Nothobranchius furzeri: one gene and its partner. The protein of the gene in region 1 interacts with the protein of each later gene in a biochemical or structural test. Links are inferred from orthologs where the notes say so. Each region holds a gene or a part of one and is shown on either strand. Other genes may lie near its edges. The genes, in order: nrip1b and rxraa.

What was found.
Region 2: the proteins of nrip1b (region 1) and rxraa form a complex in vitro, tested with the Homo sapiens proteins (2 studies listed by BioGRID). The link is inferred for Nothobranchius furzeri from reciprocal best matches to the Homo sapiens genes NRIP1 and RXRA.

The regions. Positions count from the first base shown.
Region 1 is NC_091750.1:42,795,837-42,812,393, forward strand, and holds nrip1b (nuclear receptor-interacting protein 1), read right to left. Parts: upstream 7,833-16,557; 5' UTR 7,606-7,832; coding exon 4,012-7,605; 3' UTR 3,780-4,011; downstream 1-3,779. UniProt on the Homo sapiens protein: Modulates transcriptional activation by steroid receptors such as NR3C1, NR3C2 and ESR1. Also modulates transcriptional repression by nuclear hormone receptors.
Region 2 is NC_091746.1:41,861,086-41,877,914, forward strand, and holds the start of rxraa (retinoic acid receptor RXR-alpha-A), read right to left. Parts: upstream 10,195-16,829; 5' UTR 9,930-10,194; coding exon 9,902-9,929; intron 1-9,901. UniProt on the Homo sapiens protein: Receptor for retinoic acid that acts as a transcription factor.

The DNA of each region.
Region 1 (16,557 bases):
ATGACAACTTACGCCGGGCTTGAATGGCCTTCGTATGGGCAGACAGACCACCTAGAGACAAGTGCAGTTAGTGGTTCACGTCCCTGTAGATGACCTCTGGTCTGAGCACAGTAAGTGCTGTCATTAAGTTGTTGGTCACACAAAAGCATCTAAAGTAGGAAACGACTTAGGAGGCCTGCGAACTTCTAACGCGTGTGGAGGAACGTCCGGAGTCCTTGGCCTACAGTTGGGTCAGCGTGTTCTGGTGCTCGGCTCCGGCATCCACTCAGCCTCCTGCTGAGGTCAGGAAATCAAAGAGACGCTGCAGACAAACAGCCAATTGTTACGTTTTACACCTTGACCTCTGCTTAACTCCTTTATGTTCGCCACCGCCTCAGCAATCGCAAGGAATCGAGAGGTTAGTGCGGTTCAGCCGTGATAAGAATCTCAGAATGGAGAAGCTGACTGGGGGGGAAAGGTTACTGAGAGTTTAAAGAGCACGTAGTCAGTCGGTCACGGGGAGGACTTAATGAAAAGGGAAGTCATCGCTGAGGAACTGCGCTGCATTTCAAAAGTGCGCAGCAGACAAAAAGCTGTCTGTTGGCTCGCTGGACTCCATGTTCAGCAGCAGTTAGAGGAAGCTGAACTCGTCTTCACCTCTGGCATGTGTCACGCTGGAGGCTGAGAAACTCCACCAGGATTCCAACACAAACCAGTTCTCAGACTAAATGATTCAGTGCTTTAAACACAACCACATCTATTATGAATTTTTTGAGTCGGTGTCAGAGACGTCCCCTTGGAGGACATCTGGTGACCTCCATCCCGCCTCACCGAACCTTTCCTGCCTTTGTTAAGACTCGGCTGTGAGGACAGCAGCAGCCACACCAGCAGCACCAGTTTTGGGGCAAATACAGGACATCCTCCCGCCCCACTTAAATAAACCAGTATTTGATCACAGAAAGCTGTTCGGCTTTGATGTTCTTTAAAAAAATAATATTCTTTCATATCAGGCCAGAGTCTGGTGCTGGGAGCAGCAGAAGCCACATTTCCCTAATTATTGTTCTGCTTTATTAAAGATTTCTGTAAAAGCGACCGGCCACATGAAGAACCCTGTAGGACGAAAGACTAATTTCATTTAAAACAACAGAACTTACTCTGGCCTGGTTCAAATCAAAACACTTCCCACAAACATCAGCGAGGAATAACAGACTATTAATCAGTTGCATTTATACTAAAATGCTGCTGAACCTGGAGAGCGCAGCTGATCTGTGATTGCTGAAAACTTTCATGGCTCGGTTCATGCGGTCAGAAAATAATAATAATAATAATACATTTTATTTAAAAGCGCCTTTCAGGACACCCAAGGTCAAAAAATCAGAGAAGCTAAGCGCTAATTTTTGATAAGTTTTATTTGTTCAAAAATCCCCAGATCAGAAGACTTGTTTTACCTTAAAAAAAACTCATATTCCCTCTTAAGCTGATATTTAGAAGCAACACGGAAAAACAAGAAGACATCCATACTAGGTCATGCATTTTAGTACTTTATTTCTGAGATATCAGTGCAAATGAACACCAAGAATGAAAACATTTAAAAAAAAATGAAATATTTCAGGTCTTCACATGAAAAAAGACATTTTCACATACATATACATGTATGTATATATATATACACACATATATATATACATATATGTATATATATATATATGTGTGTATGTATATATACACATATATATACATATATGTATATATATGTGTGTATGTATATATACACATATATATAAATATACATATACACACACATATATATATATACACATATATATACATACACATATATATATATAAATATACATATACATGTATATATATATATATATATATATATATATATATATATGTGTGTGTGTGTGTGTACATGTATATAAATATATATATATACATACATACATATACATGTATCTGTATACATATACACACATATATACATATGTATATATAATATATATATATAAATATACATATACACACATATATATACGTGTGTATGTATATATATATATGTGTGTATATAAATATATATATACATACATATATATATATATATGTATTTAATGATATATGTATATACATATATGTATACATATATATATACACATATATATATATATATATAGATGTATACACATATACATACATATATATGTATATATTTATAGTTTGCTGCTACAAATGTATTTCTTCGATGCACAATGCAGATCTATGATTGTACGTCAATCCCACACTAGAGCCCCATGCTTGTTCACAGAGCTAAGTTAACCAGTAACAGAAAATAAAATCACAAAAATATTCAATGCATGTTTATTTTTCACACACTTTCATCACCTTGCTCAGTCTGTTATATGGAGGCTGCTCGTTTTCTGTGCTAACCTCTCGCTCTGCGATAAAAAAAATCTATTTTAAGACTTGACATTTTCTCCCATCACCAGTAGGGATACACAGGTAGTTCCCATGCGTCTGCATGCAACAGGCAGCAGTGAGGAGAGTCAGACATTGTTACACAACACAGCGCAGGATAGATTATCATTTACCACATTGAGACACATGCATAGAACCAACCAACCAAAAAGAGATGGGTGTAGTATCCTCAGCCTTCATATGTACACCTGTACGCATAGAATTCATATTTACATATCAGGGCATTAAAAACTAGGGTCTTATCTTTTTTTTAAACATTACAAAATAGTAATTTTTCATACTGAAAGTACTATATACACAAATATATTTAATCATTGTGAAAATGTATTAATAACTGCAGACATATGTCATTAATATATGTCATAAAAAGACCACGAGACTAAACGGATAAGCAGAATGAAATCAAGCAGAAAGAATACAGTACAATCAGAAATAAAGAGCTGGATGCCAGACCTCCCTCGAGACACAAAGGCCTTGGTGATTAGTGGGCAGGCAGGGTCACGAATCCAGCTGCTGCTAAAACAAAGTACCGTGGTCTTCTTTTCATCAGCATCATGCAATTCTTTTGACAGTTTATGAACAAGACATCGACACAAAAATAAAACATGTCCATCGAGCACAACAGGAATAAAATGCTAGAAAATAAAATTCACAAACGGTCATTCTCTCTGCAGATAACAATACTGACACTGTTCCATCACATGCCAAGAAATCATTAGTTAAAAAAGGCTCAGTCTCAAAAGTGCAAACTCCAGGTAGTTTTATTTCTATGGCATACACAGAAAGAGGTGTGTGTGTGTGTGTGTGTGTGGTGTGTGTGTGCGCGCGCACAAGGAAAACTGGTGTGAGTTTTACCAGTCTGCTGAGATAAGCTGCAGCCTATAGACTGTTGCTCTAGAAACCCGTTTACACACATTTGCTCAAGTTTAAGAGCCACGCGGTTTCTGTTGACCCATCTGCGCTCATCCTGCTCACGGCATCCTGAATTTGCACTCTTGAATGTCAGCCTTAAAGGTTCAGCACGAATAAAAAAACTGAGCGAATCTCCACGGGTGGGTTCTTTCCCCACAGCCGCGGCACTCGAGGAGAAGCCTCCGTTTCCTCACCGAAGAGCCCGCAGGTCCTCCTAAGCACGAGTGCCGCTGTGCTAGACCACCGCGTCTGCCCCGGGACGGCGCTCCTGTCTAAAGCTGATGAGACTGTATCTGAGAACGCTTTGGTGGCGAAAATAAAAAGTGTGCACTGAAGTGAGCACTGGCATGTTTTGAGTCATCACTATGAAATGTTCTGTGTAAAAGGTTTATGAGAGGCAACAGAGGGAAGTGATGCGTGTGGGATTCACGTGGACCATCGAGACCAAAGCAACGCTGCCTCTGCTGTGACCTCAGCAGGTAGGATTCAAACAGTGACACCATGGTTAAAAAAAAAAAAGATAAAGAACCACACACTTTCTTACAAAACCAGTTTAGCAACTCATCCCCAAAACCAGAAATAAAACCCTAAATTAAATAGAGTCAATGAACAGCTTCTACTTCCTGTGGTGGAGCCACAGTCTTACTGGAAGGACTGGCTCAGCCCCTGGCTCTCGTGGCTGTGCTTGTCGTTGTGTGTTGGTGACTGAGGGGTGGAGCTCAGGCTGCGTTCATAGGCGTGGATGTCGCTTATCTGCTCCTCCTTAACCCTGACCACAGGCTGGACTCCGTCTCCCTGATCGTACGCCTCCTTCCTCAGCTGGAGGCTGCCCTTCTGCAGCATGTAGTAGAGGATGGGGTTAGAGCGAGACAGCCGCGGCGAGTCCGGGTTCGAGTCACAACCCTCCTCCTCTCCGTCGTTCTCCTGACTGCCCCACCGGACCGGGCTCTCGGGTTCCTGCTTGACCAGAGTCGGGGGCTCTCGCTTCTGAGCGACAGGCCATGGAGCCGGCTGGTGGACCCATGGGAAGCGGACGGGGGTGCTGTCTGAGGGAGGGGTGGGCAGTGGTCTTAGATTACTCGGAAGCCCTGAGTTGAGGGAGCCATGGGGGTGCCAGCTGGGCGTGTGGAGGAAGCTGTGGGCAGGCTGAGAGAGACTGTTCCCATTGGCCTTCAGGGCCGCGGGACTGGGCGTCCCACGTGGCTGCTGGGACAGTTCCTTCAGACAGTTGTCCGAGAGCAGCAGCTGTTTCAGAACATTGAAGCCACGGCTCTCCCTAGTGAGGGTCTCGCTTGGTGGAACCTCCTCCTCCTTCAGACTCCTTTGCTGCTCCGGCTCCACTTGAACAGTGGGAGAGGCGGACATGTTTGTGTAACCACCGTCCACTGCTTTTGGAGACCTGATGTGACTCAAACCCTCTGACTGCTCAGGGCAGACACGTCTCCTCTTAGGGACGGGGCTGGGATAGTCCCTCTGCTCCTCCTTCACCTGTGTGGACTGGGACTCCAGCAGCACTGCAGAGTTAGTGTAGTAGGTGGCAGTCTGTTGTTTGAGCAGCTGGCTCAGGAGGCCGTATTTAGCTATGACCTCTGGCGGCCGCGCTTCTGTTTTCAAGTCCTGCTGAGGGTCGGAGAGCTGGCTTTTCTTCTCACAGCCACTCAGTCTCTTTTTGCTGCTAAAGTCCTCAGACCTGGCAGGAGGTGGCCCCGCCTCCTCTGTGAGCTCAGACTTTACCTTCACATCTAAGATAGGTTCGTTAGAGCTGTCACAAAGGACAGTGGTGGCAGGGCTGGTCTCGTAGCACCCCCCAGCTGCCTCAGTACTCCTCCGGTAACCACCACTGGACTTGTCTTTGCGGCTGGTGGTACTGCCGGCCGACCCGGTTCCTAAAAGAAGCTGCAGCACAGTGCGCCTCTCCAGGAGGTTCTCGATCTGTGAGGAGGGAGTGGACGGCTCCTTGTGAATGAAAGGTGTGCCGCTGCCTGATGCTCCATCTGACAGTGGAGTGGTGCTGGTCCGGTGGACTGGAGCATTAAGTCTTTCCATCAAGGCCAGGGGCCTGCTGGTGTCGATCTCCTGGCCCAGGCCTTTGCTGGAGGGGATGGGCGGGGTGGAGGAGGAGGAGGAGGAGGAGGTGGTGGTGCCACACTGGGCCAGATTCTGCAACAGTTTACTGGCACTAAAGGCTGGCTCTGAGGACCTCTCAGCTGGGAAGGCTTTAGACTTACACAAATCTAGTGGGCTGGACTGAACATGGGGGGAGGGGTAAGAATACGGGGAAAGTGCACCACTCGGGTCCTGACTAAAAGAGTAGAGGGACTGGGGCGGACCTGCTGACTTTTCTATGGAGCTTCTGGTTCTGCTCTCCTCCCAGGACATCAGTCTTTTCTGCTGACTTTGAGACATGGTGGCCATAGTTATGTCAAGAGGCAAGTCCTGTGTCCCGCTGCTTTTGCTAGCCATCTCAGAGTTCCTGCGCTCGAGCAGCAGCTGCATGAGAGTGACCTTCGGGTGGGATTTTAGGTCCGGACTCATTTCTGGCTCCTTGTTGTTGGAGACGTTTGATCTGGATGGCTCTGGTTTCCACTTGTTTATTAAAGACTCCGTTAGCTTGTCCAGGGAGGAGGTAGGGAAGGAGGAGGACGAGGATGAAGAAATAGCAGTGGATACAGAGGAGACAGTCAAAGAAGAAGGTGAGTAGGATGAAGTGGAGGGCTGAGCACTGGCTTGAGGAGAGGATGATGCTGGGGTGGAAGACAGCACCATGGTACAGGAAGAGAGCACAGAGGTGACGGAAGAGGAAGAAGAGGGAGCATTTTTGGGCCCAGTGTCTTGTGCACTAGCACTGCCACGACCTCTCATGGAGAGGTCAATTGGGGAACAGCTGGAGTAGGAGCTCTCAGCATCACTGCTGTCCTTGGTCATGCTTCTCTCATGGGTGGAGCATTCACTGTCCGACGTGACAGAAGAGGAGCCGCTTGGAGGCAGAAGGCCACCGATGTCCTCCAGGTGTCCGTTCTTGGTCAGCTGCTTCTGACTGTTGTGGTTGTTCAGCAGCAGCAGCAGCAAGCTGCTGCATGTCTGCGGTGGGCGGACTGGACGAGCATCAAAGCCTCTTTTCTCTCTGGGGGGCTGGCTCGGCGCGTGGGGAGCAGCGGGTGGGGAGCTTTGGCTGTGGCCACGCAGCAGGGATGGGCTCTGAGGACTGGACACTGCCGTCCGAGGGAGTGTTGCCATCATCGTGGTAGTTGTCATTCCATTCTGAGTTGCTAAGGAGCTTAGTGTGTCTGGAGACCCCCCAACACTTGGAGGCCTTTTGTCTGTGTCGTGCTGCTGGCTGGCCATTGCAGCCAGTCTCTCGCTGGCTGATCTCCCTGAGAGCTGGGCTTTGAGAGCATGCTCTCTGGAGTACTGCTGCAGATGTGCTTCGCTGGACAGCAGCAGAGCAAGCTGACTGCAGGCCACGCTGGGCTTTGGTGAGGGGGCGGGGCTAGAACGAATTTTCACCAAGTTAGCCACTGCTTTCAAACGCTCAGCACAGGACACCGACTCAGCAGGAGCAGCAGGAGGCGTGGCGCTGTGTGCTGATCGAGGGGACTCTGGTGGCCGGTCCTGGCTGTGTCCACGGCGGCTGTAAGGGGTGTTGTTGTGATTCTGTAGTTTGCTCTTCCGCATGAGGCCTTTCAAGCGGCTGGAGGCTGTCCCATAAACAGGTAGGGGCTCTTTGTCTGCAGCTGGAGCCTTGGCTGGAGATGGACACTCACTGGTGGGTTTACTAGTGTTCTGAGACAATGCCACATTCTGAAGCTGTGATGTGAATGACTGAAGCAGAGATGCCAACAGGGTGCTCTCTCCAGCATTAGGGGATTCCTCCAGCGTTCCGTTTTGCAGGCCTCCCACTTGGCCATTCAGGTCCATGGGGGGTGAACTCAGCCGCTGGTTCCCCGGATCATTCCACGCTCCGGAGCGCAGCAGGCGAGCCTTCTTCAGGTGTTGTGAGGAACCCAGAGTCGGTCTATTAGTTCCAGCCTTGGGCGCTATTGGAGCATGGTGAGTTAGTGGGAAGGACCCCCCCACCTTGTTGCCCTGTTGCTGATTGCTGTGGACAGCCTCGGACCTCCCGCCTGCTGTGGCCCCAGGCCCGGCCACCACTGGATGCATCAGTAAACCTTCCAGATAAGTTAGAACAGCTGAATCCTTGTGTGTCTCAGGGCCAGGCTCCTCCCCATGAGTCATGTTCAATACTCAGATCCCCTCGTATTGCTTAGCACTGCTACTGGAAAATAAATGTGATCTGGGTCATCTGGTTCAGTCATGCACTGGTTAGTCACCAGAAAGAGGGCCGGTCTTGGCGCCAGGTGAGAACAGAGAAGAGCAGAAGGATGCGCTCGCTGGACTTGGATCGTTCTGAAGAGGCTACAAGCAGCAACGTGCTGAAGAAGCAACCATGCCTGGAAGCAATCTGGGGCAGGCGGCCCTCCAAGGCATTGCTGTATGCCTATAAACGCTGCAGGACCCCAGAAGGCCAAGATTCAGGTTGATGCCAGTAGCAAGCGAGGAGTCAGCAGGAATCCACCACCATGATGTTGACGCATTCCATGGTTGTCTGTTGTTCTGTCAGTGGTGTCTCTGTAGAGCTCACAGCTGAGGGGGGAGATCTATAAAAGTGAGAGATAGAGAGAAAACAGGGAGGGGTGGTGGGGGAAGGAAAAAGGGGAAAAATAGGAAACCATGTGAGAAGCAGGGATTTGCAGAGCACTATATCACATTCATTTCCCCACCTTGTCTGCCATCGCTGTTACTTAGCAACATTTCAGATTGACTGCACACGGCTCCTTCTCTCTGCACTCTTCCCTCACAGCCACCCAACACACAACACATGTAGATGAGCCTTGATTGGATTCAAATTGAAAATTCAAGCTCACTACCTTGAAAACATTCAGGTCTTGAGCTGTAAGCCTCTCACGGCTGTGTCTTTCAAAAGTGAAGGGCCTTCTGAGAGCTGTGCATAATTCTTTATGCAGCTTGCCATTTCACTGGATTAGCCCCCCCCCCCCCCCCCCCCGACTCCGTTTGCAATTGAGCTTCATCTAAAACCACACAACCCTTCATCTAGCTACAGTAAGAGCCACCCACCCACCAACAGAAGCACGCTTGCTTAAATACACGAATGAGCAGAAGTATGAGGACATACAGTCTGAAAACACAGAGGACACCGTGAAATAGTCTCTGGGCATTAAACAAGTATAAAGTATTAGGTGAATACATCTGAATTGTTGCATAATGTCTTTAATAATTAAGGTCTTAGCTCAGGCGCGTGTTAACACAATGCCAAAGAGAAAAATCATCACAGACACAAGGAGCTCCATCTCAGAAGCCTATATTAGCACGTTTAACGTTAAATGGCTGATCAGCTGAAGACACAAAGCTCTTTGTGCTAAAGACAGGGCAGCCGGGCCACGCTTATGTGTGGAAAGTTACCCTTGATCAAACCACAAGGTTTCTGAAGCAGCAACTACTGGGCCATAATGAACAGGATCAAGTCTGGAGATCTGATGAGCTGTGATTTAAAAAAATTAGTAACATCAATGCAAAAGTCTAAGCATCCTCTTATTTTCTATTGGAGATTATTTGCTTTTTAGGAAGGAGCTGCACCTTTTTGCTCTACACCTGACCAAAACTAGGGATGCACCGATGGATCGGCATTTGATCGTAATCGGCCGATAGCGCCCCTATCGGTTTTGATCGGAATTTTCAAAATAGATCAAAGCAAACCGATCAGGTAGAGTTGTCACGGTAACCAGTGTAGCGGTAAACCCCGGTAAAAAAAAAAAAGTTGACAATAATAATAACCGTCTTGTTTTTTAAAAAACTATATTATCTTGGTGGGTTTACCGTGGCTGCGGTGTAGGCGCGGTGACCCTTACCAGCCACCGTATCATCAGCTGAAGTAGCCGGCGGCACATGCGCGCTTTGTTGTTTACAACAAAACTTTCTTGAAGCTAAAGCTGAAATAATGGTCAAAGGAGGAGACGGCAACGCTCAGGAGGACATTTATTATCCTCAAAGAAGACAAAGTCGGAAGTACGGGCATCTTTTGGATATTTGAAGAATGCCGAGGGAGTTTATAGAAGACGGCTATCCTGTTTGCAGCACGTGCAGAAAAAGTGTCTGTGAAAGGCAGCAACGCTTCAAATCTCATGACACATCTGTGTGACCATCACCCACAACTCTACAGTCAAAGCAAGGCAAGCTAACGTTAGCGTTTTAGCTAAAATGCGTGATCCGAGGATTTGGGTTGAGGGAGAATGCAACGAGTCGCTATATAAAGCAGCCGCAGCGCCGCTACCTGCATATAAACCGTGTCGCGGACACCCCCATGTTGAAATGACGCTATGCATTACGGGGCTCCCAGGGACAGATAAGAGTTGGTCTCTCTCCGAGAATAATTATGAATTTAACAATGATTACTGCCTGATGACATTTTCCCAAATCTGCAAAGCTCACTGGAAGGACACACACCGAGGACAGTATTTTCCTGATATAGGGTTTATTACTCAAGTAAGGGTAAAAAAGTATCTGATTAGAAGGCTACTTGAGTACTGAGTATCATCTGATCTAATATTTTTAAATGACATCAAACAGACATAAAATAAGAAGTTATGGGCAAATATTGGTATTTTAAAGACTAAAGGGGAAAATGTAAACAAATAAACAACATAATTACAAAATAACACATTTTAGGCAAAATTTAGACACAAACTGAGGACAATATTTCCTGACATACAGGGTTTATTTAATTGTGTGCAAATGTATCACGTTTAAAAAAAATACCGCGATAATACCGAAAACCGTGGTAATTTTGGTCACAATAACGGTGAGGTTAAATTTTCACACCGTGACAACCCTAATACAGACCATTTTAGATTAGGTTACATTTCCTTTATTCCCAGATTATGTAGTGTGTAGCACTCATCATAATGTTGTAGAAAATTTCTGGCCAATCCACGTGATCGGTATCGGTGATCGGTATCGGTGATCGGCAGCAAAAAAACCTGATCGTGCATCCCTAACCAAAACAACTTGGGTTTGAAAGACCAGCCAGCCCCATCAGGGAACTCTCTTCAAATAACCCCACCCCTTGAGAATCCTACCCGAGCCAATCAGCGCTGAGCAGCATTCGTCACACACCACAACGCTCCAACAACAAAGATGGCGACTGAAGCGGAGTTCGCTGCGGTTCTTTCCTCTGGTCTAAATGACCTGAACACGTCTTGAAATCCACAACAAGTAGAAGCGCTAAAAGCCTTTCGTCAAAAAAAAAAAAAAAAAAAAAAAAAAAAAAAAAAAAAAAAAAACATGTATGCGCCATTGCCAGACACCATTTTTGACTAAAGCTAAAAAAAACTACACCGCCACGCGTTACAGTTGGCATTTCCGCCTTTTTTCTGATTGGTTATTTCTGAGCTGGCTAGTCCCGCCCCTCATGAGCCTCTCTATCTGTGAGCAACCAGACTCTGTGCAGAATTAAACAGAGGACGAGTCTGGCAGGCCAGGCTAAGCATGAATCACCCTTTGTAATAGTAAAGTGTCTCCACCTCTTGGTGTTGTTGAAAGCTGAAGCTACAGTGTTCTGCATAAAAGTGTACACCCCCTTTAAAAAGTACAAACTTAATCAGCAGCTCAGTGAACAAAAGAACAAATTCCAGAATTTTCACAAGGCTGGTTTTACTGAACACTTGGTTAACTCAATAACATGAAAGTTAGTTTAATAATATAACTTAGATCACAAGATCTTCAGTTCTACTAAAGCTGGTTGAAGCAAACATGATTACACGTTTTGGGTGTGCAAATTAGCAACTACTGTTTGCAATCACTGGGGATTATTTTGTAGCACGGTATCTCATAGAAAATGTTAATTCTGAAAGGAAACTAAAGGTTTTTTTTGACAAATTAATGCTGAGCACTGTAAATTATCCTGCTTAAAGGTGCCGCCATGTTGTGTTTTGGCACTAGGGCATTGTGATGTATATCGTGCCATTAACAGAAACAGAGTCCGTCATGGGAAAGGAGGTTGACAACTACGGCTTAAAGAGTCAAGTTTTACGGACCTGAAATGTTGTCAAGCAGAGGACCAGGATTTCATTTAGTACCGATGAGGTCATACAGAAAGAGGTGACTTTCAAGATCCTGGTTCTGGTCTTTAGGGCCTTACATGGACAAGCACCATCTTACATTGGTGATCTTCTCAGTCCCTACACCCCCAGCAGGTCCCTGAGGTCCAGTGATCAAAGCCTACTGGTTGTGCAGCACCAGGCTAAAGACCAAAGGTGACTGATCATTTGCTGCTGTGGCCCCCAGACTCTGGAACTCTCTCCCCCTGAGCCTGAGATCAGTGGACTCAGTGGTCTCCTTTAAAAAGCAGCTGAAGACTCACTTGTTCAAGCTGGCTTTTGTATGACCTTCTTCACCCCTCTCTCTTTATTCAGCTCTCCCCACCTATTCCAGCTTCCTCAGGATCCACTGATTTCCCTCTTTCCTGTTCACTCTCTCTCTTTCTTAACATTTTTTTTAATCACAATTTCCTATTTTTTGCTCATTTTAATATATTTTAAAACATTTTCTAAATGCTTTTTTATATTTTCACATTTTTTGTTTTTGTGAAGCGCCTCGTAATTTTTATCTTGAGAGGCGCTTTAGAAATGATATTTTCTTCTTCTTTCTTCTTCATGTTAGTGGTTTTGCAATATAAACACAAGTCACTGTTGGACCGCGACTAAGGACCCCCCCACCCCCCCTCTAAAAAAAGAAAAGAAAGAAAAATGACTAAATACACTTCAACAGTATTATTTTTGAGGCTGTCGTTACCAAATACTAAAGGGATAAAGCAAAACAGAATCTATTCTTATTCCAATCTGAAAGCACTTTTATTACGAAGACAACACACACAACTGACCCTGCCTTGGTCTTATGGGACTGAAGTTTACAGCTATGAGATATGAGTAGCAGAGACAATCCACGGATTGTTTGGATGAGTATTACTGGTGGCTTAAGGATCAGGTGCACCTGTCACGGCACGGCATTGTCTGGAGGCCAGAGCTGGTGGCACTGAGACGCACGTTGTGCTAGTTGCCATGACAGTGTCAGAGACGCTGCCCTGAGAGACCTCTGCTCTGAACCCTGTCAGCACGGTTTCCGTGGATACGGGACACCTCCAACATTCCTGGGCACATCCCACAAAGGTTAATTAATACAGAGTCTCCACCCTGGCTCAGCTGCTGTCCTTGTCCTTTCCCAATGCTGTCTTCACCTTTTGTGTGGGCCGAGTGGAACGACGCTGCAGGTCACTTGACAGGAGAGCAGCTCCTGTTTATGACGAAAGGCCAAAGCAATGTCCTCAGCTTTATATTTGAAGCAAGGACCACAAACAAAGCATCATCCTTCTAATCAGGCTCAAATCCATCTCTGTGGACAGCATCAGGTCACAACCAGGTGGGATATGCAACGACTCTATTAAACACCAAATCTAGGATGGTTAAATCACACACGAATCCCAAGTCAGAATATTAGGGTGGTCACCTTTAGAGCTCCACTGGAATTTCAGACGGCAGCATTCCATTTCCAACAGAAAGAGATCGGCCTTTTGGCGTCGTTAATAATTTAAGGTTATCTTTAAACTACGACCTAAAACAGAAAATGACAAAGGCCAACCTGGTCACCCTGGGCCATCTGACGTCTGCCGTCACACTAATCTTAGATGCACTGGATTAGGACTATTTTCCCGCCACTGAGCTTAACAGAGCTATAATGGAATGGCCTGTAAGGCCACGTTTGATTAGTGCAGTAAACATGTAAACATGTTTACCTTGACTACAGCTTGGCAAGATGACTAATATGCAGCGAGAGAGGCTCCTAGTCAGCGAGAGGACAAATGGAAATGGGAATAAAACGCTGACACAGTTTCAACATGGAGAATTCTGTTAATCTGTCTGCTGCCGGCACTGAACCGTTGGAATTACCGTTGACCTTGTTAATGTTTTTGAACAAAGAGACGACTAGAAAGAGCGGACAGGATACTACTGCACTGCTTGGTATCGGTTAACTTACAACGTGACCATTGTCCCTAAAGATTGGGCCATTTTAAACTACCTTCACAGATCATCTTTGTGATTTAGAGTCATGTTCTTCATGATTCAGAAGCTGAATGGTATATATGTTGTGTGTGTGTGTGTGTGTGTGTGTGTGTGCGCTCTGTCTTCTCGATCCCCAGTGAGTCGTGGAGGATGGCTGCTTATACTGAGCCAGGATCCTCCCGAGGTTTCTTCCTGTTAAAAGGGAGTTTTCCTCTCCACTGTCGCTGCATGCTTGCTTAGTTTGAGGATTGCTGTAAAGTCACTGACACTAGTCAGTGACTTGATGCGATCTGCTGGGTTCCTTATACAGGAAACTTTTTACTGATTGGCTTAATGAACTGACCTGTGTTGGACTGTTTGCTGTGTGAAGGTCCTTGAGACGACTCGTCGTGATTTGGCGTTTTATAAAGAAAGAGGAGAATGTGAGACCAAGTGTTTACTCATCATTTATTTTGTTGAGCCCCTCAACAGTGGTCTATAAAACATCAAACCATAAAATGTGCCTAAACATAACAGACAAGCTGGAACAATTAGTGATGAGCTGGAGGGCAATCTGCCCGATCAGGTTTGCATCATCACAACATACACACTCCAGTTAGCGATGGCTTATCCCTTCAGTTTTTCTTTAATGTTAATAAGTTTGAGTCAACTAGCTTCAGAAATAAAATGTTCCTCTAATTATGTCGGCTGTGATGAGGTGGGGGGTGGCCCTGTTCAGAACAAAGTAAAACAAACTCAACTTAATCCAAGAAGTTATGAGCGGCATGTGATGATACGGGCTGTGTCAAAGCACGTTGCTGCAGCAAGGACAAGAAAAACAAACCCAAGCTGTTCACCTCGGTTACAAATGTCTGTTAACAGCCCGCTGACCTTAATACAGGCGGAGGCGTCGTCCTCTACACGGAGCCCCCAAAGCTCCCGGCCCTCCTCGTCCCTTACTGTGAATGTGTGCATTACTATTACATTATCTCCTCTGGTGTATACATGGAGAACGACCTTACACATCTGTTAACGTGTCATTTCATTGGTGGTGGCACCCAAAAAGCCTGACCTCCACCCCTCCTCCACCGCGAGACACCACAGCATCAGTGAGCTGCTCTACAGTTTCTGTGGTGATTATCCATTATCCTTGACAATGTCAGCCAATGACAGAGCAGGCACTAAAGTGATTTTTACCCCTACAGTATCTCACACACACACACGCACGCACTTACACACACACACGCACGCACTTACACACACACACACACACACACACACGGGTGGGGTGCGGCTACATCATCCCCTGGCTGGTTGATTCCTCATTTGTTTGTCTTTCTCCGTTGAACTCCTCTGCTGTTGAGAGGACGGCAGGAACAGGAAAAGGTTGCTGCACTCTCAACCACCGCCCACGATGCACATCAGCACCAGAGAACCACATCATGCCGAGATCTGATCCAGAAACTTATTTACAACAAATCCTCATTCAGATTTTCACCAAACAACGGATGATCACGTGATTTTGACATCTGTTGACTTTGACTGCAGGGACATTTAGACTTAAGCAGCAGATCATTTTATCGTGCTGTTCTGAAAACAACTATAAACTAACACGTCTTTGTTCCAGCCATAATGAGCTCACGGTGAGAGGACCTAAATAAAAACCTGCTGCTGTAAACCCGGTCACCAGTCTGGGACTGGCTTCTGGTAGGTCGTAGATAGCACTTCTGTGTTTTTGTGTTTCCTTGACCCGCTGCTTGGGGAAAAAAACAAACCTTCAAATTCTACATGGAAATGAACAGAGCTGCTACGTTTGGTGAGCGACAACAATAGCATTATCATCTCCACCTCTCAGCCAACAGTCTTCTTTAAATCGTTGGTGTTTCTAAAGGATCGCCATCAAGAATGGTGATCTGGGTTGTTTAAAATGTATGAGAGCAAACTAAAGAATGAAAAGGGGAAAGGAGCCAAAGGAGAGGCAGTTAAAGTCAAGGTCATTCATACCGCCAAGGCTCTTCCACTTGATGCAACAGCTGGTGTCCATGCAAAGCTCTGGGCGTTAATAAAAAGTGACAATGCTGCCTGAGCGGTGTGTATTTCTAATGTCTGACACCAGCCTGGCAGATGTGTTCTCCCTGCATTTAAGGGGAGTCAAGGTTAAAGGAATTTAAAGGAGGAGGCGATGCCTAAACACTATTATATCACGTAATCTGCAGCCTAGTCCTGTTGCACACACTCTACGGGGTAGCTCACTTACACATGCGGCGTGACCGCTATTTGTAAATTCAATATGGTCTGACATGATTAAATAAGGCAGAACATAAGCTGCCTGACAAAATGCAGTTGTTCCAAGACCTCCACAAGTGAGTGGGTGCAGGAGAGGAAGGCAGACTTAAAAGATCTTGCTCAGCCTCGAGAACAGGTAAACAGGAGCGCAACATGCTACCGAACAGCAGCAGAGTCGAGCAAGCAAATGTTTCTGCAGATGAGTCAACTGGGACAAAACAACAGCTGAAAAGGATACACAGAAAACATGCATGCCCACACAATGAGAACTGGGGCACCGTGACCTACTTCTTAGGATGCACTGACTAAAACAGTAACTTCACACACGCACTGGCGCACACACACACACACACACGCACACACAGATTCCAGGGAATAGACGGAAATGTAATACACCAGAGCTGAAAAGCCCAAGCTCCTGGTTCAAGTACCACGGACCATCTATTGATAAAACCATCCTCCTCATGGCAGGCCGTGGGGAAGCTGAGTGCATTTGGTTTGGACTGGGCCAAACTTGATCTGGACTGGGAATTTTCCTGGCCTGAGTCTGGCCTTGAATGAGGAGCACAGAGGTGGATTTTAGCCTCATATGAGCTCGACAGTACAAGGAGTTCTTGAGGTTGAGAGAGAAAACTAAGAGGATTTCATGTCCGCCAACAAGTCATCTAAGTGTATCAGAGCCCAGCTGAGCAGCAGAGGACCGAGGGATGATGTCACCAGGTCGTATCGCAGACCTAGACTTTCTCTCGCCTCGCCTTACAAGCCCAGGTTCGTCCAAAGATGTTGTGTC
Region 2 (16,829 bases), on another chromosome or scaffold:
AGCAATCCACAGAAAGTGTAAAATCACCTACACCGAAGCTGCCTGCAGATGTGCATACATGCATAAACAAGCGTCACCCTTTAGCTCTCAGAGCTGCTGCTTTCTGTTTACACCCAAACATTTACTCATTTCCACACAGTCACACATGCATTACGCAGAACACAAGCAAGGTGTTGTGCACACTGTGGGTTTTCCGTGGCCCCGTGCCCGGCGGTGTGTGAAAGCCTGCCCCATGGCATCTGGAAAGGTGACAGACAATCTTAACAGCGGTGGTTTTTGTAGTGGGTAAAGAGGAGGGCGTGGGGCGTACCGAGACGCCTCCCATAACTGCCAGTGACCTCAAAATGAAACTGTGATGAAGCAGCATGAAGCACAGTCTTAATTACCCCACTGTGTGTATCCAGATTGTTCATGCACACACACATACTATGCATGAGTGGAGACGACAGGTAAACTAATGTTTGCACACCTCGATTTACCATGGTATTTAAAAAAAGTCACTGTGGGGATCTGTTTTCTAATTCCTTTTCTTTTTTGAGTTGTAAAAAACATCAAACCTGTTATTCCAGCTTTTGATCACGTTACATACGAATGAATCCTCCAACACAGAAATAAAACAACAGAACTTGTAAACAGAGAAATCCACTGTGGTCTAATCTTACATCTGTCCCACATTATCAGAAAATTGTTTGTACACTAGTTTAACGAGAGAGTAAGGCAAAGACTGTAGAGCAGGGGTGTCAAACTCATTTTAGCTCAGGGGCCACATTGAGGAAAATCTAGTCCCAAGTGGGCCGGACCGGTAAATTAAAAACAACTTCAGATTGTTTTCTTTGTTTTAATACAATCAATATAAAACAAAGCTGGAGCCTGAGGACAGTGTATCCAAAATAGTACAAGTACAACACCTGAAGTTTACTTGAAAATTTGAAAAATAAAAATAAAAAACATTCCTTAGTGATTCAAAGAGCTTACGGATCACATGGCTAGATCAGTTTCATGCAGCACTTAAAGTATATTTGACTCATTTTACTTTACATCTTTTAGCTTTCACCAGCACATCGATATCAGAAGTCACATCCTGAGTGGCAGCCAACTTCAGGATGTGATTCAAGTTCTTGTGTGAGCCTTGAGCGCAGCTTTGTTTTATTTATACTCATTACAGAGGAAACTTGCTCACAAAGATACGTTTATTTTCACTCTACATTGTAAAGTATGAAAATAAAGTTTACACAACCATCTCGCGGGCCGGATTTATCCCGTTTGCGGGCCGGATCCGGCCCGCGGGCCGTATATTTGACACCCCTGCTGTAGGGTAAGAAATATGAAAAATAACTGGGGCTGCACAATATATTGCAAATATATCATTATCGCGATATCAGCAATGCGCAATATGCATATCACAAAGAACAGACAACGAATGGTCAGCTCAAAAGTTTGCTACACATAATGCATTCTGTCAGTCAAACGGAAGCATGTTTTTTGACGGCACTTAATTTTGATGGTTAGCAAACATCTGAGTTAGCTTTGTTTTGCTCTTTCTGCTGATTTTGCTTTTCCTGGGATCCACTGATTGCCTTTTCTTGTTCATTTTCTTTTTCCCTTTCCTCAAATGTTTTGCTTTTCTAATCTTTATGATTCTTTTGCCCTTTTTTTATTTCTTTGTTTTTGATAATTTATTTCCTGAGTTAAGTTTTTATTTATCACAAGTAATATCGTCATCGCAATATCAATCACTGTTATTGCATGCCACAGGCTTTTCTAACATCGTGCAGCCCTAAAAATAACATTACTTACCTATGTAAGGAATTATTGGTACACTGAAATATCACAATTTTTCGTGTTCTCATACTGATTCAGTATTTAAAATCAGTGCTTCGATTTTCTTTATTTACAATTTACTTATAGACATTTTCTGTACTTCCTCTGTGTGGTGCAATTCCAGCTGTCACAGCTAGGTGGCAGCTGTTTTTATCGCTCTTATTCTGATCTGACAAGATCTCGCGTTAACACTGTATGTGTCTTGAAAGTGTCTGACTGGAGATTTCCAATTGAATTCCATCAATTCAGTCTGGTTTTTAGTGTCAAAATACATCATATCGTCCCCCCGTATTGTGATATGTGTTGTATCGCTAAGTTCTTACCAATACACACCCCTACTGGTTGTTGATCATTTACATAATGAATCATTACTTTCAAGTAGGATTGAAAAGTAAGATTGTTTTATTACATGTCTAATCAAAAAGACTAAGAACAGAGCAGAGCATACAATAAGTGGGACTCAATAATCAGCTGGAGTAGGACAATATGGCCTAAAGTCAATAGCACAGTGTATTGAGGAGTTCCTCTCGATAATGACAAATGGACAATAATTACATGCAGGGTCCGAAATTAAATTTTTTACTCACCGGCCAAGTTGGCCGGTAGATGATGAAAATCTACCGGCCAAGCATATTTTTTACCGGCCAAAATTATAAATGATTTAGATCTACCTAAAGCATGTTATTCTATATTATGTTGATTCCAAACAGAGTGACAAAATAATTAAAACATCAATTAATAAGGAAAACAACTCTTTTGTCACTTTTACTGTTTATTTATTTATTTTTAGAGACGTTTTTATGAACTCTTTCATTGAAATCTAGTCAAACTCCTTGTTTTCTCTGTCCATGAAGTCTGGCCTCCTGCTTCTGACACCATCTTTGTGCCAAAGCATTACAGCCTCATTTGGGTCCTAGTCCTTGATCTCTGGAGAACACAGCTTCACCATGAGAATATCTGAAAGTGTGTCCTAGGGTTGTCACGGTAACCGGTGTAGCAGTAAACCCCGGTAAAAAAGTTGACAATAAATAATAACAGTCTTGTTTAAAAAAAAAAAATATATATATATATATATATATATATATATATATATATATATATATATATATATATATATATATATATATATATATTATCTCGGTGGATTACCGTGGCTGCGGTGTAGGTGCGGTGACCCTTACCAGCCACCGTATCATCTGCTGAAGTTGCCGGCGGCACATGCACACTTTGTTGTTTACGACCAAAACTTTCTTTAAGCTAAAGCTGAAATAATGGCCAGAGGAGACGGCACTTGGGACATTTATTATCCCTCAAAGAAGACAAAGTCGGAAGTATGGGCATTTTTTGGATATTTGAAGAATGCCGAGGGACAGCTGTCTGTGAAAGTCAGCAACGCTACGTGGCCATCATAATGTAGCCATTGTCTCACGACTCCGCCGTCTCCAGTTCGCCACTTTTCACAAAATCTTCTGGTTGCCACTGGTCCTGGTGGTTTTTCTTCCAGTTCGATGAGTTTTCTTTTGGAAGGCTGGCTGACTCCAGTTAAAAACCGCCACATTTCACCACTAGTTTTAACACGAAGCTAACGGCTAACTTGATAAACTGACTGAATGGGATGGTGGAAATGACGTTGGATGCGGCATTCACGTTTCGCGTACGTTTGTGTACGTTGCATGCAGGCGGGAGAAGTATCAGAAATCCGTGTTAGATGACTGATAAACATAACTAATTTGGTGCAAACATTTACTCGCCAGGTGGCAGGTAGAGCTCAAAAATTTACTCGCCAAATGGAGCAATTTACTCGCATTTGGCGAGTGGCGAGTGTTAATTTCGGACCCTGATTACATGTATGTGTATAAACAAAAGTTGTCAACTATATATATATATATATATATATATATATATATATATATATATATATATATATATATATATATTTTGTTTATATCAGCAATAAGAGGCGTCTGGCCTACAAATGGGCCAGAATGGACCCAGTGCCACGGGAAGACGCATACTCGAGTTTCTAGGTGAACTTCTAGTTCCTCTCCATCGCCTTTCTCAGTCAATCCCCAAATCATTTAGTGATGCACACAGAAAAGAGAGAGGAGAGCTGTGGATGGAGTAGGGCGAACTGACCTTCCTCTCAATACAAATTATGAGTGTGATCTGGCCAAATCCCCACTGAGACCATGTTTCCACTTCAAAAGAGTGGCTGTACGCATCCTGAATAATGCCAGCCTGCAGAAAAGCCATTCAGACACTCAGAGGACCTTCAGTAAACCCTGAAACCAGCGGTGCCAAAACCATTCTGATACTCAGGGAGAGAAAGCTCTCTGAGCAACAACCAGGCATCTGTAAGCATAAGTAAATGGAAAGGATCCCAACAATAATTAGCAGCTTGTTTATAAAGAAAATAAGCATACAACACATTATTTGGGTTTAAGATGTAAACACCAACTTTTAACTTATTCAGTGTTTTGAACAGAAAATGTGTTTGAAGACCATTTGATACTCCTATAGACTCATTTCAGATATGCCAATCACTTCAGCTCAGACTGAAACCTAACAGCACAAAGCAACAAAAACAGAGTAGACAAAAGAAAAAAATCATCAAAGAAAGTGAGGCACAAAGGACCAACAAGTTACTGTCTTTAAACTGTTTCTTTAAAAAAAAGGACTGAACGCCAAAGGCAAATTCCTCAAATGATCAAGCATATGGGGAGCAAAGGTCAAGGTTTGAGGTGCAAAGGTCATTGTGTCCATTATCAATAAAAGACCTCCTGCGAGAGCAGCTCCTTACACAAATAATTAACGAGCTTTTGAGTCATCCTAAGATTCGTCCAGCTTTAAAACGGTTTTGGATTCACTGCAGAGAAAAAATGATCATACTAATTCTCTCAAACCAAAGGAACCTCTTTCTAGATATAAAGTTATATTGTTTTCTAATTATGATCAACACACGTGTTCAAAAACAAGACGCAGGATGTTCTTGATGTGCTTCCTAATTTTGCAAAATAAAAAAACATGTTTTATAGTTTAGATGATAGCATGGGTGAGGGGTGGGAAAGTCAAAGGTGGGCACACAGAAGGCGAGCAAATTCTCTTTGGCTTGCTTCAGTTAAAAGGCCTCATGAGTGAGATTGTGAGAAAGAAAAAAAGGAGAAAAGAGAGGGAGAGCGAGCTGTCACTTTAAGCCATTAAGTCTTGCTATAAAACTCCTCCAATAAAAATGACAGCTGTGGACCCCTTTTTTCTCAAAAGGAGAGCAAAAGCATCGCATCAGCAACACAAAACTGGACGGCCGTAAAAGACAAACTTGGCCAAATGCTTTTGGCAGTGTCACACACACACACACACACACACACACTCTCACAAACGCACGCACGCATGCACACACACACACACACAAACTCACTCACAAACGCACGCACGTAAGTGCGCGTGCGCACGCACACACACACACACACACACACACACACACACACACACACACACACCCTGTATTACCTTTGTTCCTGAGTTACTGCCAGACGAGGAATGTAGCCCTCAGCCCCCTAACTTAAGACAAACACCACCATGAATCTCACTTTCTCATCAAAGACCGTGAACTTCACTGATTTTGGAAATGAGGGTCAGAGAATTTATGTAGGTATCAGATGCTCAGACAAGTGAAAAAAGGGTGATGAGAAATCCAAAAGTCAAAAGTGTCAGAGTCAGAAGTAAAGAAACGCTAAAAGCTTAAGCTCTACAGAAAAACAAATCATGTCCATTAAAATTCCTTGACTGTGTCTTACATTTATTCTTCATTTAAGGTCAGCGTACAGATATTTAATAATGCTTTGTATGGAAACCTTATGAATTATCTTGTTCCTGGGTATTTCGCCATAGATTTGATTCATATTTAAGAATAATATCTAAATGTCTACATCATAATTTCTTAATTTTAGACATTTCTTATTTAGCCTCAGGTGTTATTTATTCTAGTTCTGTGTTCCCTCTGAAATTGGCTTTAAGTCAGTTCCTAACCGAGATCAGACCAAAAAAGAAAACAAAAACAAATCACCATACTTTTTTTTAGTAAACATGTGGCTCTGGTATTTTATTTTGTTTTATTTGTTTTATTTTCAGGCATTTTGATGATTTATAATACTGAATGTTGGAATGAAAATGGAAATATTCTGTTTTTATGACCCTTTGTTGTGGTTTATAACCAAACAGATAAAGCCAATGAACCCTTTCAATCATCCCTAAAGTAACAACAGATTTAACACTGATCTCAGTGATCGTTGAGTTAGTCTAAAGACAAGAGGAAGTTTAGAGAGAAGCTTAAAATGTTTATCAAAGAGAAAATTAAAGTTGTTAAAAGTCCATAGGACCTCTGGGATGACAGAAAACGTCAGTCCGATTCACCAGTGTTTTTCCACAAATCTGCTGGGGAGACATTTATTCCTATTCAACAGGAAGCACTGGACCCTTCACTAATGAAAAATTAAAGATCTTCAATCATCTGGAGGCCTACGATTTTTTTGTTTTAAGGAAAGCTGAGCCGATCTCGTCTGAAACCATGGACATGCAAATTGCAGCAGTTAATGCTGACGAGGAAAGTCACAGCGTTGTTTACGTCATCTGTGGGTGATGGCTAAAGAAAAAGGATATATCCTCACTGCAACTGCAAAGCTGGGTAAGTCTTCATTAATCAGTATTCATTTATTTATTATGATCGCGGGTTGACACCTGATTCAAAACGCAAATACAACATGACTCTGGATTTAAAATTACACAAAGATGAATGTTTTTTTTTTAAATCTTCGGTAATTAACAAATTCTTACTTAGTTACATGGACTCACCGTGAACTAAATGAGCCTCAAACTGTCCGTTGCTGCAGGAGTCCAGGCTTTCTTCTGAGAGTTCGGATCGCTTCCTATCATCTCTTTCATATTTTGCGGTCATTTACAGAGGAAATTCCAATAAAACTTTTTTATCAAGCCTCCCACGGGCCGAGCTATCAATCACACAGCAAGAATGATCCATCTTTTTTTTCTGAATCCTCCTCCAAACATGCAAAACAACCAAATTATAGGCAAAATGCATTGTTTCTTGCCACCCACGTCCCATGATGCAATGAGAGAAACATGAATACTGACATCACAAAAGATCCTCCTATTTGGCACCTCTCTGCAGCTCTCTTCTGATCACAAACTAGAGGGCGCTCTTTACCTTTACCGCTGTGACACTAGCGGTTAGCATTTTCAGTTTGCCCATTTTCAAAAAAAAGCACAAGAAGAAATCATAGACTGATAGTGACCTGGCTTTGTTGCTACTGAACTTGTAAGTAATAATATTTGTCCAACAGTGTGGATCTTTTTACGTTGTGGCTTATTTTATTATTAGTTTGCTTATGTTAGTGTTAGCTTGTTGTTAGCACTAGCTACAGCAAACTACAGCGGATTTGTTCACGGCAGTTGTGATTCCACTTTCAACCATTAGGGCGAAGGACCTGGAAACTGCTCACTGTAACTTTAACAACCTTTGTTAGTCATTTTCTGAGAACTTTAGGCAAGTTTTATGGGATTCCAGATCTTAACATACTCAAAATGTGACACAAAAAGGTGTCACACCAGAATATCACCCTCATGTGACTGATGGTGAATATTGTGAACAGGGAATTTCAAAAATGTCCAAGAACAGTTGCGGAAGTTCAAAAAGTCCTTGTGTGAGTTGCAGGGCACTGGTGTTAATTAATGCAGCGTTATTCCTCATTTAAAAAGTCAGAGTAAGCGGTGGACCCCGTCTGGAACACTTCTCAGTTTAGTGTAGTAAGACAATTTGTGACTTCATTACAAAACAGTTGTGCAACTGTCACAGGTGAGTCATGCTCCCCATGACTCAGATGAAACTTATTAGAAAAGTGTCGCCATTTTTGCAGAATTCCAACATATTTGTTCACAGTTTCTATTATTTTTGTGTCCAAAACTGGTTCTTTATAGTCTAAACAACGTTAAAAATCCAGGGGTGATCATAGTTTTGAGAATGAGACAGTCATTGTGCAGTTTACTGTGATTTACATGCTTTTAAATAAAAAGATAGATTTGACAAGACTATAAATGTTATTAAACAAATGACTATTGTAAGAAGAGAAAGTAGGCTTGGTGTTGATACATTTGGTTAAAGCAATGGAACAAATGAGAAATCAATATTAACAGACTAAATGTATTTTCTCTTGTGATTTTTTTTGGCATCTCTCACTGTTGATTTCACTGACACACTGTCATGATCATCCCTCTAATGCTGGGATGGAAGGACACACTCTCCTTCCAATGTCATCCATTTGGTCTTTATTGCTTGATGTCAGTGTGTGTGTGTTTGTGTGTGTGTGTGTGCGTGCGTGCGTGCGTGCGTGCGTGTGTGTGTGTGTGTGTGTGTGTGTGCACGTGCAGGGAGGGGGCAATAGTTGATGGTGGGACCACATCAGCACAAAGTACACATGCAGTACAGAGCATCAGCTGCCAAAAGCCAGGTGTCGTCATCACGGCCAACAACCAATCTATAACTGTAAAATGTGCTCGCTGTCATCTCAAAAAGATGCATGTCAGGATTTCTAATGGAGTACGACATTAGATAATTACTCTGAGTAAGCGGATAATCAATAAATCCAAGGACTTTAAGGGTGTCCTTGAAGAACCAAAGGAACATTCTGCTTTTGCTGGTGTGATTTCAAACATAAATGATCACTTAAAGACTCAAAGAGAATACCACTAAAGATCTGTCACATGTGGAAAAGGGGTTCAGATTTACACCGACCATTAAAGACTGTTAGATTAAAGCTTTCCAGTCTGTTTATGCTGTCATGGGCAGTTCTAGTGCACGTTCAGGCAGCATGAAACTCTAATCATTCTCATTACAGATACACAATACAATGCACCTGCAATAACAGCCTGCCAGTGTGTGCAGCATTGGCGGTTTAGCGTATTTCTGGGAAGCCACATAAAGGGTGTTGTGGCGGGAGTGTCAGTGAGCAGAGCCTGTAACTGAAGAAAGCTGCCCAGTGCCTCAGGAGGTCCCTGAGAATCTCCCTGATGCAGCTGGTGATGTGTGTCAAGGTGTAACATGATGCTCTTATGAAGAAAGGCAGCAGACACAATACTGGGGGAGGGTATGGGGGGACAAGGGTCTCCTGTGTTCACTTTAGCAAACTTACAGTAGCAGTCAGTGTTAATGATTTACAGCATGGTGAGTGTGCCTGTGTTTAAGCTGGGGAGTCAATGGGCCGTCAATGGGCCAATTAGTGCAAATTAGATCTGACCTCAGATTAAACACCTGGATCTTCCTGACTTTGATGTGCCGGAAGCTTCAAATGAACATAAACTGACATTTGTGCAAAATAAGCTTTAGCTGAACATAAAATGTGCCATTTCTTGCACAATGATCCATGCAACGCTTTGCTCAACAACGTCATCCATAAAACATGGTCCAGATGTAAACTTTGAGCTAAGTGCAGAGGTCACATGTGAGGTTACCGGCACCTATCAATGGTTACACCGACGTTATTAAAGTGGTCTCTTATATTATATATTAGGAACACGTCTTATGAGAAAGCTAAGTCCTTCCAGATTTAGGTCAAAATAGAGTATTAAGTTCATTTTCTCAGAAATGGTAAGTTCAAAAGAAGTTTAGGTGCTGGTTAAAAATGGAATGTGTTCATTTTTTATGATCTAAAGCGACCAAACAAACAAAAATAGGCCCACATTTAAAGTAGTTTGTTTTGTAACGTTTAGAAGTTGAAACGAACGCGAGTCTGAGCTCTTATCAGAGTTGTCATCAGCTCACTCAGTTGCTTCAGGAATTAAACCTAACTTTGACTTATCTGGGTCTTTTCTTTCTCAGATAAACGATAAAACACAAAGTTTTATCAGTTAGCAACATTTAAAGAGATGTATAAAAGCGCGTGAGCAGCTCCAAACATGTGGGTGAGCCGCACGCGCTGTCAAAACAGAAACAAAAGAATTACGCGGCGCGAGAGCAACTAAATCCGTTTACAAACACCTCAGCGAGGCTTTGTCATAAAACAAACAAACTTACCCAATGACAGGAACGGTTTGGTTTCCATGTCGGAGTCGTCGGTTAGCTCATGCCAGCTGAGGCGAGCGTGTTCGGGAGTTTTCTCCCACACAAGCGGCAGCTCGAGCTCCGCGAGCCGGACCGGGACGCTGCTGCTGCTGCTTCTCCTTTCTTCTTCCACTGCTGCTGTGAGCGGCAGAAGAAGTGGCAGGTCGATGTGTGACCGTATCAGAAGATAACCTAACGTTTCTGCCTCTGTTTGCGCACTCAGCTGCTCGCAGCTCAGTGACGCGCTCCGGTTGTACAACAACTCCAACTACTGGAACGGCTCAGCAAAAGAGGGACCTGCGCAGGCAGGGGGTACTCCCACCGACGAGCTCCGGGCTGCAGCGACGCGGCGCAAACAATAAAAAAAAAAAAAAAAAAAAAAAAAAAAAAACGATGAGACCTTGGGTACGCAACATGTGGAATCCTCGAGAAGGACTAGAAGAAACGCGCAGTTTTTCGCCAGTTGGAGGTTTTCTGCACCACACCAGCTGAGCGGCAGCTACCTATTCATTTCTTATCTCCTGTTATTCTGACCTGGTCACATGTGCTGAACCAGGAGTGTTGGCTCAGCACAGATTTTTCTACTCCCTTTCCTTTAAATTTGAGTCTAATTCACAGAAAAAAGTCAGAAACTTACGTTTATTTTTGTCTTTTACTGATAAAAGTGCCTCAATAACAGAGCATTGCAATTAAAACATGATTTAAAAAACCAACAGTAACAGATTACTAAAACAAGACATTTTAATCAGAAAGTCTAAATGACTCCAGACTGCTGAAACAGTGTTGTTTATTCCATAATTGAGGTGCAACAGACTGGAAAGAGTGATCCCATCCAGTTTTATATCTGGACTTTGGAATTACTGGTGGATCTCTGGATCAACAATCATGTGTTCAGTCTTGAGTTTAAATAAATATTGGAGGCACATTCATAGCAAATATCTTTGTACGAAAAATGAAAAAGGGGTTTAGGAATGTTACCGTTAGGAATGGGCTGGTAAACAGTTTAATGAAAAACCAGTCCCTCTGACCACAGCAACAGGTGGGGAGGGTGAACTGCCTTAGATCAGGTTAGGAGTTTGCCCTGTAATTAATAGGGTGCTGGTTCAAACCCAGGCTCTGTCAGTGCCAGTTGTGTTCTTGGGCAAAGACACTTCCCCTTCCCTGCTCCAGGGCAGCTGTTGCTTCAATGTAGCTCATCACTATCGCTGTGTGAGTGAATGAATGATTCCATGTAGTGTAAAGCGCTTTGGAGTCCTCTGACTCAGAAAGATGCAGGCCATTCATCAACCCCTGGTTACTACCAGGCACACAGTCCCAGAAATGCATTTGCAGGAGCTGTGTGACACGACAGGAAGGGACGAGCCGCCGTGGTCGTGGGGAACACATTTCCATTATGATCCACGCTGCTTAGATGTTAAATGTTGTATGGTTGATGTGGAAACTGATTACTTTAGAGCTACAAGCGGCACAGGCAAATACCCTCCAAAAGAAATCACCAGAAAAGGAATCTAAAGAACAGTAAAACAACTTTTTAGAAACATTATGTTTTATTTGTAGATGGAGTTTCTGTCACTTTCATGACCCCAATGACTCTGTGACCAGTTTGAAAGTTGTAAACATTTTCAAAATGTTTTGAGACATTTTGGAAACTCCTCTTCAAAGGCCATTCTCAGTCTGTTGCAGTTGTTGCAGCCCCATTAAGATACTGACTTAAACAGTTCTAAACACAACCGTTTACACAAGTCACAACTCTGTGTGCACCTGGTCTCCTCTAACATGGCAGGTTTTACATTTTCCATGTCCGGTCTCACTCAGGGCCGCTTCCTCTGGCTCTCTTGTTACGAGCCTCCTTTTATTAAGGACTCAAAGGTGTTTGCCACGCTTTTAATAAAGTGTGATTCATAATAAATGCAAGCCATGACACACTGGAGATCAAAGACGAGTGTGTAAGAAAAGAGTAAATTGAAGTTTGAATGGGCACCGATCCAAGGTGTGTTTTTGTACAGAGCTGCAGATGTGAGCAGAAAGAATGATAGTGTCTGATTCTGCCTTGGTTCTTTGTTGAATATTTCCCTCGTCTATCCGCTGCTTGAACACTTTTTAATCATGATTGCTGGATGATCAGTGAGTTATATTTGTGCTTAGTTCAAAAGGCTGTTTTGCCTCGAGCACTTAATCTATAATATAAGGCAGACGATCCTTTTAAACACCTCAATCTGGACGCTTTCTCTCATCTTTCGTCTGGATCGAGCTATTTAATCCTTGACTCAAGCCGTGATTAATAGCAGCCTGACCCTTCACCTTCATCCACATAATTTTTCTGGTGGCTCCTTTAGCTCTTTTCTACGCCTGAGGTGTGATGGTCGCCGTGGCCTTGAATCTTCGCTCACATCTAAACTGCTTTATCTTTGCTCAGTTATGTCCTTTTGTTTCTTAACTTCATGCGGTGTGTTAAGTGGCCTCAGGGGATGGGACACCACCGCTGTTACGTTACACTTTGCTGGGGTTGCTTTGACAGTCTGTCCCCCCATGCTCTCCTCTTTAAGTGGGTGATAAATGGGCCTTTTGGTGTCCTTTGTGCTTTCGTAGAAGGCATCATGGCTTCTTTCTGTGGCTTTGACGACAGTTCTCAGTTCAGAGGAATGTACAAATATAGGTTTTGATCATTCCCAACAAATCACTGACTAAATCAAAAAGGTGAAAGTTGGTTAAATACTTTGTCTGTTTCTATAATTCATGATAAAATCACTCCAGATCGCAATCCTTTTTGTTGAATTTAAAATGAAAAGCCTAACATTCCTTGATGAAATAGATAGATTTAGGGTACTAAGTCATCAGTACATCACTATTGCTGCAGTGGGTGACTTCGCTGATCAGCACCAAAAGGCATCAATGTTAATGCGTTAATGCCATTAAAAACGTTTTATTGTGTCAATAATATAGAGCCTTACATGGACAAGCACATCATACATTGGTGATCTTCTTAGTCCCTACACCCCCAGCAGGTCCCTGAGGTCCAGTGATCAAAGCCTACTGGTTGTGCAGCACCAGGCTGAAGACCAAAGGTGACAGATCATTTGCCGCTGTGGCTCCCAGACTCTGGACCTCCCTCCCCCTGAGCCTGAGATCAGTGGACTCAGTGGTCTCCTTTAAAAAGCTGCTGAAAACTCACTTGTTCAAGCTGCCTTTTGTATGACCTTCTTCACCCTCTCCTTGTTCTGCTCTCCTCTACCTATTCCACCTTCCTCAGGATCCACTGATTTCCCTCTTTCCTATTCACTCTCTCTCTTTCTTTACATTTTTAATCACAATTGTCTATTTTTTGCTCAGTTTAAATACATTTTTAATCATTTTCTAATTTTTTTTTAACATTTTTACATTTTTTGTTTTTGTGAAGCGCCTCGTGATTTTTATCTTGAGAGGCGCTTTAGAAAAGATCTTCTTCTTCTTCTTCTTCTTCTTCTTCTTCTTCTTCTTCTTCTTCTTCTTCTTCTTCTTCTTCAAAGTTTGCCACAATTTAATCCATTCAGGGCAATGGGAGATCAGCTGTGAGACTTAAAAACCAGCATTCAGTGATCAGCAGAAAGGCCATTTTAGTGGGTGCTCTATAGCAAAAGAAAGCACCAGACATTGTGGGAGGGATTCTGCTACGTTAGAAACTATTTTAAAGCAGCTGCCTATTTTCTATCTTTCCATCCTGCTTCAACAGTAACACTTCAATTTATTTCAGTAATTGAACTTAGACTGCAAGACCATCTAAAGCAGGGGTGTCAAACTCATTTTAGCTCAGGAGCCACATTGAGGAAAATCTAGTCCCAAGTGGGCCGGACCGGTAAATTAAAAACAACTTCAGATTGTTTTCTTTGTTTTAATACAATCAATATAAAACAAAGCTGGAGCCTGAGGACAGTGTATCCAAACTAGTACAAGTACAACACCTGAAGTTTACTTGAAAATTTGAAAAAAAAAAAAAAAAAAAAACATTCCTCAGTGATTCAAAGAGCTTACAGATCACATGGCTAGATCAGTTTCATGCAGCACTTAAAGTATATTTGACTCATTTTACTTAACATCTTTTAGCTTTCACCAGAACATCAGTATCAGAAGTCACATCCTGAGTGGCAGCCAACTTCAGGATGTGACTCACGTTCTTGTGTGAGCCTTGAGCGCAACTTTGTTTTATTTATACTCATTACAGAGAAAACTTGCTCACAAAGATACGTTTATTTTCACTCTACGTTGTAAAGTATGAAAACAAAGTTTACACAACCATCTCGCGGGTCGGATTTAACCCGTTTGCGGGCCGGATCCGGCCCGCGGGCTGTATGTTTGACACCCCTGATCTAAAGGCTCAGGAACCCTTTGCAAGTGTTTTGGATTAATGAGCTGATTAGAGTGTGACACTTTGAGTCTAGAATATTGAACCTTTTCACAATATTTTAATTCTCTGAGGTTTTGAATGTGGGGTTTTCATCAGCTGTAAGCCATGATCATCACTATTACAACAAATAAAGGCTTGAAATATCTGGCTTTGCATGAACTGAGTCTATCTCATGTATTAGTTTCATCTTTTAAAGCTCCAATGTCAAATTTGGAAAACAAATTAGCTTAAAACATTTTACTCATGCATCTTATCAACATAGCTACGAATATATTGTGGGGATTAAAAGAAAGAAGAAAAAAAATAATAAAGTGGTTCTCTCTCATTTGTCTAAAACTGCCGCCAATGACACAGTTTGGATCAAAAGCATCTACTGAAGCATCCGGTTGTTGGTCTGGCTGAACTGCTGCAATTCCCTGGGTCCTCCATTCATTACACACTCATGTATTTAGCCAGATCACACCACTGATGAGAGAGGTTCTCCACTCAATATCAGAGAAAAAGAAACAGCCAGCTGCTACCGCTTCAACTTTAGGACAAACTACCAGAGTCCCAAAATGATAAACATCATTTGAAGTCACGGACAACAAAAGATGTTTGGATTAGAAAATGGTAACTGGTGTTTAGTGCTGTCTAGTTTCATCTAGCATTGCGGGTTTTCAGTTCCAGCAGAAGCGTCTCAGTGAAGATACCCGAGGGGATGGGTGAGTGTCCTGTGACCGTGTTTAGCCCGGGGTACACAGATGACAGATTCACTGCGCCATGAAAACGCTGCAGTTTTGGGAAATCAAATGGTCACACACGACTCGCTATGCCGCTGAACGTTTCTTGGAAAATCATGCGATAGTAACAACATCACGCGGGAGTCGAGAACAGGACAGAGAATTCAGCTGGAAGAGAGATTGGCCGTGCTTTGCGAGACTCTATTTCATAAAAATGGGTAAGTACGCAATTCATTAGAATATTTTAAAATCAATAGTACTTTAAAGTTATCAATACTGTAATCAAGTAGCATTCATAAGCTCCTCGTCCCTGTTTTGGCAGTTGGGTTTGTGCCACAGAGCCGCTCCGCGTTGTAATGTCTGTTGTAAAATACTCCACGATTTCGTAAACAGCCGCGCTTGAAGTAGCACTGGCACTGTCTTCAGCGCCTCCATGCGGATCAGTGTTTCTGGGGCATGGGATTGTGCTCCCTGTGTAGCCACTGTCAGTAACTACAATGCCTTCTTTTTAAAATGACGTCGCGGGTGTGACATGGCGCAGCACATCTGTCTTCCGTGTGCCCTAGGCTATTGTGTCCAAAACCTAGCTTGTTCTGTAGATTCACCATAACAGCTTTAAGTTGAATTACTGAATTAAATGAACATTTGCACCATGTTCAGATTTTTGAGTTAGTTAATCACAAGTCCCAATCAGCAACTCTATCAGGCCTTTGACAAGTTCATGCCTCAGTTCAGGTACTTGGATGATCCCTGAAACGGCCCAGAAAATGGTACTTTTGGTCCAGTCCCGTGAAATAAAGGCATGTACGTGCTGCGTAGGTCCGGGATAATGACCTGGAAGTTTGGATAATGGAAATGGGGCTAGCGATCTATTTCAGTGTTTGATAAATACATGACCAGCGGTTCCTGAGATAGTTTGCTAAAGCAATCAAAGAGCACCCACATACTTGGGCAAAAATATTATGGCCCACTTTCACAAAGAGAAGAAAAAAACATTAAGCAGATTGAATGATTAGGTGTAAAGTGACATCTGTCTTTGAAAATCTGATTCCACTTAAATGTGACCAGTTGACTGAGCACAGCAGAGAAAAAGGTGAGCTAAGGGGAGCCTAAAAGTGTTTTAGGATCATTAGGTCCTTCGGAGGTGTTCAGCATTGTCTGCCCCAAGAGGAAGGTCCCAATTGTCAATGTCCCGGGTTCACATTCCTTAACCCCCCTAGGGTAAGGGCTTTGTCTTGGGATAGCAATGAGGCAACTTCCCCTGCGGAAATCAACACAAGCTGACACGGAGAATGCTGGAGACGAGCACAGAGGCAGGAAGGAGGACCCAACATACACATACGTAATCAAATAACAGGCCGGATGAAAGTAGAGAGAACTAAACACCAGTTACCATTTTCTACATCCAAACATCTTTTGTTGTCCGTGACTTCAAATGATGTTTTTCATTTTGGGACTCTGGTAGTGTTGGCAAAAAAGAGAAAACCTCCAACCTCAAAGTTTGATCAGACATTCTTACGTTACATGCGTAGTCATGTTTATGACATTTTACGCTTTAAATTCTCTCAAATGTATGTCTCATGTTGGATTAAAATTTTCCAAAACGTGTTTGAAAACAGTTTAAAGCCAGGATTTCAAAATTACTTTGTCTAGATCCTTGTCATTTTTCCCTGTTCAGTTTAAATCCTGGAATCACTTAAGAATCTGTACAAAGCAGGATTCGACTGGCACCTTTACAAATCAATTTCTCCTTGAACATAAAATTCTGCTCACTCTGTCAATAACTTATTTCATGGGG